2 linked regions of the Arabidopsis thaliana genome follow. The main gene of each other region encodes a partner of the protein of the gene in region 2 in a complex. Each region holds a gene or a part of one and is shown on either strand. Other genes may lie near its edges.

The links. Proteins that work in one complex are often made in the same cells at the same time.
Region 1: JR1 (region 2) and BGLU22 share a complex: the UniProt entries of both Arabidopsis thaliana proteins name them as parts of the PYK10 complex.

What each region holds. Positions count from the first base shown.
Region 1 is NC_003070.9:24,705,641-24,711,809, forward strand, and holds BGLU22 (Glycosyl hydrolase superfamily protein), read right to left. Parts: upstream 4,357-6,169; 5' UTR 4,098-4,356; coding exon 3,933-4,097; intron 3,775-3,932; coding exon 3,705-3,774; intron 3,628-3,704; coding exon 3,572-3,627; intron 3,243-3,571; coding exon 3,167-3,242; intron 3,044-3,166; coding exon 2,966-3,043; intron 2,877-2,965; coding exon 2,789-2,876; intron 2,701-2,788; coding exon 2,448-2,700; intron 2,355-2,447; coding exon 2,239-2,354; intron 2,162-2,238; coding exon 1,944-2,161; intron 1,840-1,943; coding exon 1,805-1,839; intron 1,698-1,804; coding exon 1,595-1,697; intron 1,512-1,594; coding exon 1,403-1,511; intron 1,327-1,402; coding exon 1,119-1,326; 3' UTR 872-1,118; downstream 1-871. UniProt on the Arabidopsis thaliana protein: Beta-D-glucosidase active on scopolin >> esculin >> 4-MU-glucoside. No activity with DIMBOA-glucoside, pNP-glucoside, oNP-glucoside and sinigrin as substrates.
Region 2 is NC_003074.8:5,595,102-5,600,299, forward strand, and holds JR1 (Mannose-binding lectin superfamily protein), read right to left. Parts: upstream 2,944-5,198; 5' UTR 2,893-2,943; exon of another isoform or gene 2,871-2,892; intron 2,623-2,870; 5' UTR 2,609-2,622; coding exon 2,414-2,608; intron 2,331-2,413; coding exon 1,869-2,330; intron 1,784-1,868; coding exon 1,334-1,783; intron 1,244-1,333; coding exon 995-1,243; 3' UTR 580-994; downstream 1-579. Other genes in the region: JAL34 (Mannose-binding lectin superfamily protein), read left to right, coding at 1-78, 173-421; MPPalpha (mitochondrial processing peptidase alpha subunit), read left to right, coding at 4,805-4,843, 5,133-5,198.

The DNA.
Region 1 (6,169 bases), on a different chromosome or scaffold from region 2:
CCAAAACCGTAAAATCGAGTTTTCCCATCAAAACTGTAAAACCACGTTTTCCCGCCAAAACCGTAAAATAAATTTATAAATGTAAAAAACTATTATTTGAAATTTATTTACTTTTAAATATATTTTAGATTAAGAATTAAAATTAACATGTTTACAAGTAATAATAAAAAATATAATTAGATGAAAGCATGGGTAGTTTAGGTATTTGTATTATTACAAATCATTTGGATGGAGATAGAGATAAGCAAACGAACATCTCATTCGGATGGTCCAGTCAAATGAACCGACTAAAAATGAAACGAACAAGAGTTAAATAAATCATCCAAATAGACATGTTGAATGGATCAGTTGGATGGATCTATCAAATGTAGAAACGAACAGGGCCTTAAAACCTTGACCAAAGAAATCTTTGTAATACCTGGCTGATTGTTTCTCATAACATTGAGATTATTTTTAAAATTGACGTAGTAGAATCCCAATCTGTTATATTAGAACCATCTTGCTGATATTATGTTGTGTTCATTTTTATGTACATTGTCTTATCTTATCCGATATCAAATTATGTAACTTGATTTTATCTAAATTGTTTGGAAAGATTAATCTCAAACTTGTAGCTACGGTGTGACATCTTATCCGATCTCAAATCATGGTGATTTTCTAAAAATGTTAAACTATTTCCATTGTTTTATTTCATCGCCAAGCGGTTTAAGTTGTTGAAGTTATTAGTCATTAAAATATTTGCACGATTTAGTTGTTAAGACGACGTCTAGTTATTGCATAATCTATTTCTTTAAATAGAGGTAAATTCGTATTTTCAATATTTTAAAAACTATGATATTTTTACTTCATATTTAAAAACATCAGTCCTTTTGTAAATTTAAGACTTTTTTTAATATATATAATACAATATTTCTTCATGTTTTGAAGGTAAAGATACCTTCATATAAGGATAATATATTTATACTAAAGCATTCTTGATCATGTCAAATAAGCTAGAAACTGAAGGAATACAAAACACTTTTATTATTATTAACCAAGACTTCATGAATCATGATCAATCACAAACTAAAACATAGGAAAGAAGCATTGAACAGAAAACCAAATCCTCAAAATATAACTTAAAGCTCATCCTTCTTGAGCGCGGATGGACGAACACCTTGACCGAGGAAATCTTTGTAGTACTTGGCTGATTCTTTCTCATAACGTGTGAGGTTATTTTTGAAATCGACGTAATAGAGTCCGAATCTGTTATTATAACCATCTTGCCATTCAAAGTTATCTAATAATGACCATACAAAGTATCCCGTAACTCTCACTTTGTCAATGCTGCACATACACAAATTTTCTTGATTAGATCATTCCATAGAATTGTTCTCTAAATAAATAAATAGTAAACGGTTACCAAATAGCTTCGTTCATAGCTAGAAGATGCCTCTGAAGATAGTATTTCCTGTTATAATCAGCAGTACCAACCTCAACCGAATCTTTGTCCTTAAGTTTATCTCCATATCCTAGAAAAACAACAACATTAAGATGAATATATATTTTAACTCCAAACTAAATCAACACACAGTAACCATAAATCTCGAGTTACCATTTTCCATGATCATAATTTCCGGGTTTGCGTATTTATCTTTGATGTACTTTAAAAGACTTCTAAAACCTTTAGCGTAGACGGGCAATGCAGCGGTAAGAGGCTGAAAATAAAACAATGGTGATAGATGTTATGTCGTTGAGAGAAATATTTTAATTGTTTAGTTGTTAAAACAATCTCAAACTAGGACTAGTTTAGTTTAACGCATACCTGGCTACCAATGGCGCTGTGATCTACATTCTTAGCTGAAATTTAAAAGTGAAAATGTATACATATCAATTAGTATTATAAAGAAAACATTTTCTCTTAGTTTCTTGGTTTGGTTTCATGTAAGGAAAAAAAAACTTACGTTCCCAAGCAACAAGAGAATCTTGCTTCCAACTTGGTGTAGACGGATCTGGCTTTTCATTATGGTTTGAAAATGTTGAAGTATAGTAGTTAAGCCCTACGAAATCGGTCGAATCTTTCAATTTTGCTTTTTGTGAAGAAGTGAATTTGGGCAATCTGTGACCAAGAAGGTCTTTCATGATTTGTGGATAATCTCCAAAAGTAGTTGGGTCTAGATGCCTACAAATAATAATCAAAACTCCATCAATTATATGAAATTGTATACAAGACCCCATTTTATCAAAGTATATACCTACCATCCCAACATAAAGTCAAGTACACGGCTAACAGTTGGAACGTCATTTGAATCTTTAAGATCATGTGGTTCGAACCAAGCCGGACTATGTGCGATTCCAATTTTCCCACCTTTAACCTACAAAATGTCCATTAACACAACACAAAACAAATTATATTCATATCCAAAACCTGATAGTTAATTTTGATATATATATCTAATGTAAATTACCTTTTGGCGGAAAACTTCAACAGCTTCTGCATGAGCGTTGAGGAGGTTGTGACTAACTAGATAAGCCTCATAACCTGATCGTCCATCTCGGTCTTCACAACCTTTAAGGTAGCGAGAACAACGTCCTGGCGCCTTCTTGCCTACGTCGTAACCTGCATGAGCGAAGACCCATGGCTCGTTGAAAGTGATCCAGTTTTTCACTTTTCCACCGTATTCAGTGAAAACATAATCTGCATATTCTCGGAAATCTTTCCTGTATTTTTGCAAAAAATGATATTAAACTAATAATTTCCATATAAAATTTAATTAGATGTATTTTGTTTCAATTTACAAAAACATACACAATGTTCTCGCTTAAGAAACCGCCATATTCGTCTTCTAAATCTTGTGGAGTGTCCCAATGGAAAACAGTCACAAACGGAATTATACCTAGTTACAATGTAAAAATAGATAGAAATGTTAAATAATGATACTATATTTCTTGTCTTTTTTAATTAATTAGTTTATATGTATATAACCATTTTTAAGGAGCTCATCGATCAGGTCGTGGTAGAATTTCACACCAGCTTGACTCACTCCCTTCTCCTTTCTCCCATCTAAAAACCCGTTAGTTTGTTTGATTAGTCAATAAATGTAAAATTCATTAGTTATTGATTTATATATCAATTCACCAAATTCGATTACTAAATCAAACTAGAGATCTGCAGACATATACTCACGAGGAAATATTCTTGACCATGCGATTGAGAGTCTGAATGCGTCTGTGTTTAGATTCTTCATTAGTTGAATATCTTCCTACAAACATTTTTAAGACGAGACAAATTTTCAATAATATCTCGTATAATATCAGCAAACTAAAAGTATAAAATATAAGTTATATTTGTCTTAAAATTATATTAATATATACCTTAAATTTATATTAATATATACCTCAACTTTATATTAATATATTATATATACAGTGTGGCTCCTCTCAAGGGTCTAACCATTTCAAAGTTTTGTAAGCATCCTCTGAGTTAATTTTCTCAAAATTCTTTTCAAACAAGAGGCACTTTATTGTAAAGATGTTTTTTTTCTTTTGAATATACTTTAAATTTAGATTCAAAATACATATATATATTTACCTTATAACGATGGAAGAAATCAACGGCCACATCGGCGTTGTGGCCACTACATCTCTCTGTAATTTAAAAATAAAAAGTGAATGAATTTAGATATCTAAAGATATTGTATAGAAAATATAGATTATACACTCACCTGGATTTCTCTTACAGAAGATATCCCATAGAGCAGGTCCACGACAAGTTTCATTAATTGCACCTTCAACCTAATGACATAACGAAAATAGCTGATGAGTTGAGGTAATAACATATGTTTGAATTCAGCATTTGGACTTAGGCTTGAATTTTGATGGAGACACAACACTAATACATATTTTTGAAGTATAGTGTAGTAAATAATTCATTTTGATGTCTCACAGTTTACCTGAAACGCAGCAGTAGCTGTGCCAAACACAAACCCATTAGGGAAACTTGCTCGGCTTAGTTTGGACGTCGTTGGGCACACAGGATCATCGACGGCTATTGTCGAAGAGACGACAATGGTTATGAGAAAAAGAAGCCCCAGGAGAGGGAACTTTTGCAATGCCATGGTTTCTAATTTTTGGTCTTTTGGAAGAGAACAAGTTTGTGATGATTTGTTTACATCTAAACAGAGTTCTTAATTATATAGTGATTTTGATTGTTTGGTAATGACAAATAAGTCACTAAACTATATTTGTTTAATAAATTTATTTTATATATAGGTGTGTTCTTACTTATTTTTCAAAGTTTGGAACATATTATATTACGCGTGGAACATATAATAAAAACGTGCCTTTAAATAAATAGTGTATCCTATCAAAAAAAAAAAAAAATCGTGTATGTCCTATAACTGAAGTCTTCATCTATTGTTGCACCTTCGTCTTAATAATATTTCTCGTGTTTAACGAGCAACAATATTAACATTTAATCTTCCATAATCAACGGATCTCTCATTTAATGTCTACTTTCAAATATGCAACCAGATCTGTTTTACAAGAAAAGAAAAAGATATGCCAACAAGGCCTCGTTAATCATTTTCTTTAATTTTCTATAGTAATGATCCAGATCGAGTTTTTGGATCTTACTTTAGGTATTATTGACGTTTAAGATATTAATATTTATTGAATAAACTTTCATTTACTTATCCCACTAAGATAGTATACAATTATTTAACTATTGTATACGATGGTGGTTAGGAGCAACGTGTCCCCATGAGAAACTTTTGCAATGACATTTTGGTTTTTAGTTTTCTTTTTTTTCTTTTGTCTTGATTAAGAAAACAATTTTAGGATGGTTCATTTATATGTTAGTGTCGTTTTTTATAGCGATACTGATCTCTCATTAATGTCTTGTTTTTAATATGCCACAACCAGGCCTCGTTGATAATGTTTATTTTATTTTACTATATAGATAGATCTAATCATCCAAATGGTGTTTTCGATCTTATCTTAATCATGATTATTATTGACGTTTTCATAACTTAATATAATCTTTCATTATTGGTTTCCGCTTGACTATTATTTAAATAGGATGATTCATTCGATGAGAGATCCCGGGTGACTAAGCTAAACTATACAATTATAAATAAGAAAATCTAGTGTATGACCTATATCTTCAAAATCTTGAACCTGTAGTAGTCGTCCTGATCATAGGATACATTGGTAACTTATGGACCGTAAAACCTAAGCAAAAGACCTTATAATGGTTATCAAACAAGTTATTAGATATCAAGACACAACCTCCAATTAGACTGGGAGTTTGGAATGAGTAATCTTCGGTTTCGGACAAACAATTGGTCACATTCTAGTCGCATGCTGACTGCTGTCAGGACAGTGCGGTAAAGCCTAATTAAGATCAACGAAATTTAGGCATCAAAATTAAAATATAAATGTGGGGCAACTTTTTTGCCCAAAAAAACACAAATTGGGGTAACTATTATTCACCAAACATTTTTCTTGGTCGATCAATTGGTGGTGTAATTGATTATTTTTCTTTCAAACAACTCAATGAGAAAGTCCATTTAGATTTGGAATGACCATTTCTCAAAATGCTACACTTCATGGCCTTTGTGATCGAGGACATTGAAAGCTACTATTTACATGATCAGAAAATCTGGTAAGTTTACAAGTCCATATATATGTCAAATATTGTACCTTGGAAGAAAGCAACTTAAAAATATGTGTATTCCTCTTAGCTGATGCCCTACCAAAGCACATTGCGACTCACTACTCTCGTCTAGTCGTCATAGAAGAAGAATACACTGCGACTAGTTTTTTTTGCTCTCCTAAGAATGAAGAAACGGTTGGTACAATCTTTTACTAACTATGGCCAGTTCAATTACTTACCCTTGGTTACTTCAATGATCTGGATCAGTTAAGAGTCTTTGTGTATCTTTATGGCGTAGTCAAGGAAATGGAAACTTCCAATTAAATATAAAACTATTAAATACTAAAAAATAAAATAAATTCGACATGTGTCACGATTAAGCAACAAATATATATTAAATGTGACTGAATGAAAGTCGTTGTATAACTCCAAAATAATGAAGCTTCCTTATATATCATTAAAAACACATGTAACGACAATCTCTCTTGGTGTTTGACTTTGAAGGTGTTCTTGTTTTACGTCACGATGCATCAG
Region 2 (5,198 bases):
TCGTTTGTGTACGACAAAGCAGGTCAGGTTGTAGAAGGAAAAGAACATGGAAAACCCACATTGCTTGGATTTGAAGAGGTATACTTTATTAGTTCTTGCTTTCTCTTTCGTCGTTTAACCGTATAGTTTATTATCCTCAATTTTGTTCTTTTTTGTGCTTCTTGAATTGCAGTTTGAGCTTGACTATCCAAGTGAATACATCACGGCAGTTGATGGCACCTACGATGCAATCTTTGGGAATGAACCAATCGTAAATATGCTTAGGTTCACGACTAATAAGCGAGTATCTATTCCTTTTGGAATAGGAGCTGGCACAGCCTTCGAATTCAAGAAGGACGGTCAAAAGATAGTTGGTTTCCATGGAAGAGCTGGTGATCTACTTCACAAATTTGGAGTCCATGTCGCGCCAATAACCAAATAATTATGGAGATTTTAAGTATCTTTTGATGATAGTTTACACACTTTGAATAAGCTGATTCTACTTTATTTCTCTCTGTTTGTTTACTGCTTCAGTGTTTTAAGTCTTCTCTTTGTGTTTGTTGCTGTTGTGTCTTTGATGGATTTTTGTGATCCGATTTAATAAAAGAAGTGTGTTCAAAGTAATTCTCTAGTCTCTTTATTTGAAATTCCGGGGATAGCAGATTGGTTTCCGCAACATTGACTCCAAGTTTATAATGATCTTGATGATGGTCTAAAAGTTTTGAATAAGCTGACTCTAATTTACTAGGTTCTGTTTGTTTATATACCTTCAGAGAGTTTCAAGTCTTCTCGTTGTGGTCTTGTTCTGTTTTCTTGATGTGATTTCTTATTCATTTTAACAAAAGAAGTTTGTGCAAAGTCACAATGCAGAAACCCACTTTATTTAGATTTTAGATAAGCAAAGCACACAGATGCATTATCCTTAAGAAAAACAAAATACAACACTAGACCACAACTTCATAAACTCACAACATAACCTTATTCAAATTTCAGGGATATCCAGATTGGTTTCACATCATTTGGCTATGGGCGCAACATTGACTCCAAGTTTGTAAAGATATTCACCAGCTTGTCCATAGAAACCAACGATTTTGTGGTCTTTCTTCTCCAGTACGAATTCAGTTCCTCCCTCGAGTCCATACGGGATAGATGTTCTCTTGTTTGTTTTAAACTTAAGCGAGACGATTGCCGGGGCATCTACACTAAAAATCTTGTCATAGTAGCCCGACACGGCAGTGACATACTCATCTGGTCCAAGCACAAACTGCACGTTTTGCAACAAAATTAAAGACTTTAGGTTTCTAGATCAATAACTATAGAAAACAAGATTTGAAAATGAAATCAAGATTACAACCTCCTCTGCTCCAAGCAATGTCTTCTTCCCATGATCACTTCCAAGGACAGGCTTTGAAGCCTTTTCATAGTCAGCTTTGAAATAGGTCACACAAGAGTCACCTTGTCCAACATATATCTTCTTGACACTGTCGTGAACACCATCATCCCAAGCAACTCCACCATCTCCACCTTGTGCTGGAATAGTATTGGAAGAAGGAGTCAATGGTGTGGACGAAGGAATAATATAAGCTCCTAGAGAATGGATCAGATCACTTGAAGTTCCATGGAATCCAACGATTTTGCCGCCTCCTAGCTCAGCTTCTTCTCCAGAGGTTAGTCCAAACGGCTGAGAAGTTTTTCCTTTGAATGTCTTGAATATAAGAGCTGTGACGATCTCTATCGGTGACCCGAAAAGTTTCTCGTAGTAAACTTTCACATAGGTGATGTAGTCTTCAGGATCAATCTCAAACTGCAAAAACAAAAACACATCAATACTAGAAAGAAAGAAAAAAAAAACTTTTGGGCAATTTCAAGAAATACAAAGATTTGTGTACCTCCTCTGTTCCAAGTAGTGTTTGCTTCCCATGTTCAAGTGATACAATCTTACCATCTTTCTCGTAATCAAACTTGACATAAACAACACCAGAGTCACCTTGTCCAACATAAACTTTCTTTACATTGTCATAAGCACCACCGTCGTCCCAAACATCTCCACCACGACCACCTTGAGCTTCCAATTTGGTCAGACCACCTGATACCGGCGGAGTCAGCGGTGTAGTCGACGGAATTATATAAACTCCAACAGAATGGATCAAATCACTTGAACTTCCATGAAATCCAACGATTTTGCCACCTCCTAGCTCAGCTTCTTCTCCAGAGGTTAGTCCAAAAGGCTGAGAAGTTTTCCCCTTGAATGTCTTAAAGATTAGAGCCGTTACGATCTCTATCGGTGATCCAAAGAGCTTCTCGTAGTAAATTTTCACTGATGTTATGTAATCTTCTGGATCAACCACAAACTAGCAAAAAAAAAAAAAGACAACCAAAAATGATCAGTTAATGTTGATGACAAGAGAACTCTCATTGAAAACAAAATATTTACCTCCTCTGTTCCAAGTAGTGTCTGCTTCCCATGTTCGTGTGATACGATTTTTCCATCTTTCTCGTAATCAAACTTGACGTAAACAACACCAGAATCACCTTGACCAACATACACTTTCTTGACGTTTTCGTAAGCACCACCATCGTCCCATTCTTCTCCTCCACGACCACCTTGAGCTTCCAACTTTTTCGCCATCTTTTCTTCTTAACCTAAAGTTATAGTACCCATTTCTTAGAAACTGTAAACGCACAAGAGCCATGAACAGACACTACTCAAGCACTTTCATGATGATGAAACTAATCTAATCTGAGGACTATAATACTTCCACTAGGACATTACTTTAAACAATGGTATCATATTCTCATAGATTCATTATCATATAAAGAAATTCAATAATTCAAATAAAACTAGTAAAAATCAATATAACGATTTTGTGAAAGAAAGAAAAAAGGAGTACATTAAAGGGAAGGAAGAAACACCTTTGAGTGTGAGAAATGGAGATGAAGATGGAATATGAATGAGTTAATCTTGGGATTTTGTATATATACTATATAGTATATATAAAACATTTTTGAATACGAACATTAAATTCTCTTTTCATCCAATACTAACCACTTTTTTTTTCTGCCAATACTAACCACTTTTTCTTTTCTTTTTGAGAGACTTTATATTCAACCAACTCGTGCTTCACGAGGGATGGAAGCTTTGATTAGTTAGGACTTAGGAACTTGTATTAATCTAAATATCTTTTTTTTTTTAAAATTGAATCTACCTTACAACATAAAATTTGTAAAGAGAATTCCAAAATTCCAAAAAAAATCACCTAAAATTTTAAAATCGTGAAAGCAGCATCGTAAAGATGTTCTCTTCTGTTTTTTTTTTTTTTTTTTAACTCTCTTTTGAATATTGGATTAGAGATTTTCACAGTGTCGTAGATTCTTCGTAGAGTCTGTTATGAGTTGACATTTACCATAGGAATTGCATTATCGTGAGAAGGTTAAATGATAAATTGACATTTATAAATTCTCAAAATGTAGGTTATGAGTTGTCAAAGAAATGTAGGCTATGAAAAAAAAAACTTACGTCTAAAAAAATGCAAAGTTAAGAAAGAAATACTCAAAGTTCGTGGCATTTGACCATCTCTCAGCTACACCTCAAATTATAGCTCATGAGAATGGCCCATGAATATGATTGTGGCTCCGTTAATCACGTGGTATTAAAACTCACACACGACCATTTCTCATCTGCCTCCAATTATAGCGAAACCGTTACAACTCGTTGTTCACGTGAGCATCAAAATGTGCATTACTCCTTTCAAGTTCGGCAAATCCTAATTATCCATTTTAATGGACTGCAGAGACTTTAATTAGAGCTTATAGAACTTTAAACATTTTGGTTTAAATCTTAAAATAGAAATTTAACCAATCTCAAATGATTTTTTTTTCTTTTCTTTTGGCATAAGTTTCATAACTCGATGATGAATGCTACGATAATATAGACATACAGTATGATGATTAGATGAAAACAGATAAAGAAGAAAAAGTGTATCGTACGCCCCACTCGGTGATAATGATTAATGAGACTATATATGAGAGTACCCAAATATGATTTTTTCCACTCATGAATCGTATTGCACTATTTCTGCATTATTAAGATAGACCCACATTTAACATTAGACCAAAAAAAAAAAAAGATAGACCCACACCACCTGTTATAGTATTTAGTATTTTTACACATCCACTAAACGACGACAATTGACAAAATCACACAAACCTTTCTCCTTTATTCATTTTTGTTTAATTCGGGTCCCTTGCTTTTTAGCATTCGGCTCTCATTCTTATCTTCCCATGGATGGATAGTCATAGTTATATAATACAGTTCAATTGAAGTTATGCAGTATATATATGCACCACACACGAGTCTTCTATATATGTGGATACTACGTTTCAAAATAATTCTATTAACTTAGAGAAGATAAACTTTCTTAGTACTTTTTTCGTTTCACTTTACACACACCTCAAAAAAATTCTTGTTTCATTTGTGACTGCATGTAAATGTCGTTACCTTACTTGAATTTTTACACAATGGTACGTGAAAAAGAAAAGAAAAAAAATATAATTGAGAGAAAATATAATAGGATCACACCACTACAATACATGGGCTTTAAATTCATCTTTTCTATATGTTATAATTTGGGCCAAGACTATTATATCATATGGGCCTATCAATGTAATTAGAAGCAATTGCCCGATCCAATAACCTTAATTAGGAAAAAAAATCGTTCCCTTCTCTCGTTTCTTTTCAGCTCTGACTCGGCCTCTATCTCTCTCCCGTCGTCAGCCACATTCACCGGTACTCATCTGACCAAGCTAGGGTTTCGCAGTCATCATCATGTACCGTACGGCAGCTTCTCGAGCCAAGGCCCTTAAGGTCAATGTCCTACTTCACTTGTTTCCATTGAGATTCTGGTTTTTTTAGGAGAATGCTTAGTATTGAACAATTTGTATGATTCATTGTTTTTGGATTTGGATTAAAGGGTCTCTTAGATTCTTATAGATCTTGATTCAATTTTATCGCTTTATAGTAGCTGGTGCCATTATTCATGCTTTTTGCAGGTTTATGAAATGTCTCTGTTTCGAAAGTTCTTATTTTTACAATGTTAATTGAATCAAGAGATTAATGATGCTTAGGATGTGTGTGTGTGTGTGTGTGTTTATAGGGCATTCTAAACCACAATTTTCGAGCTTCTCGTTATGCAAGTTCTAGTGCTGTTGCAACGAGCTCT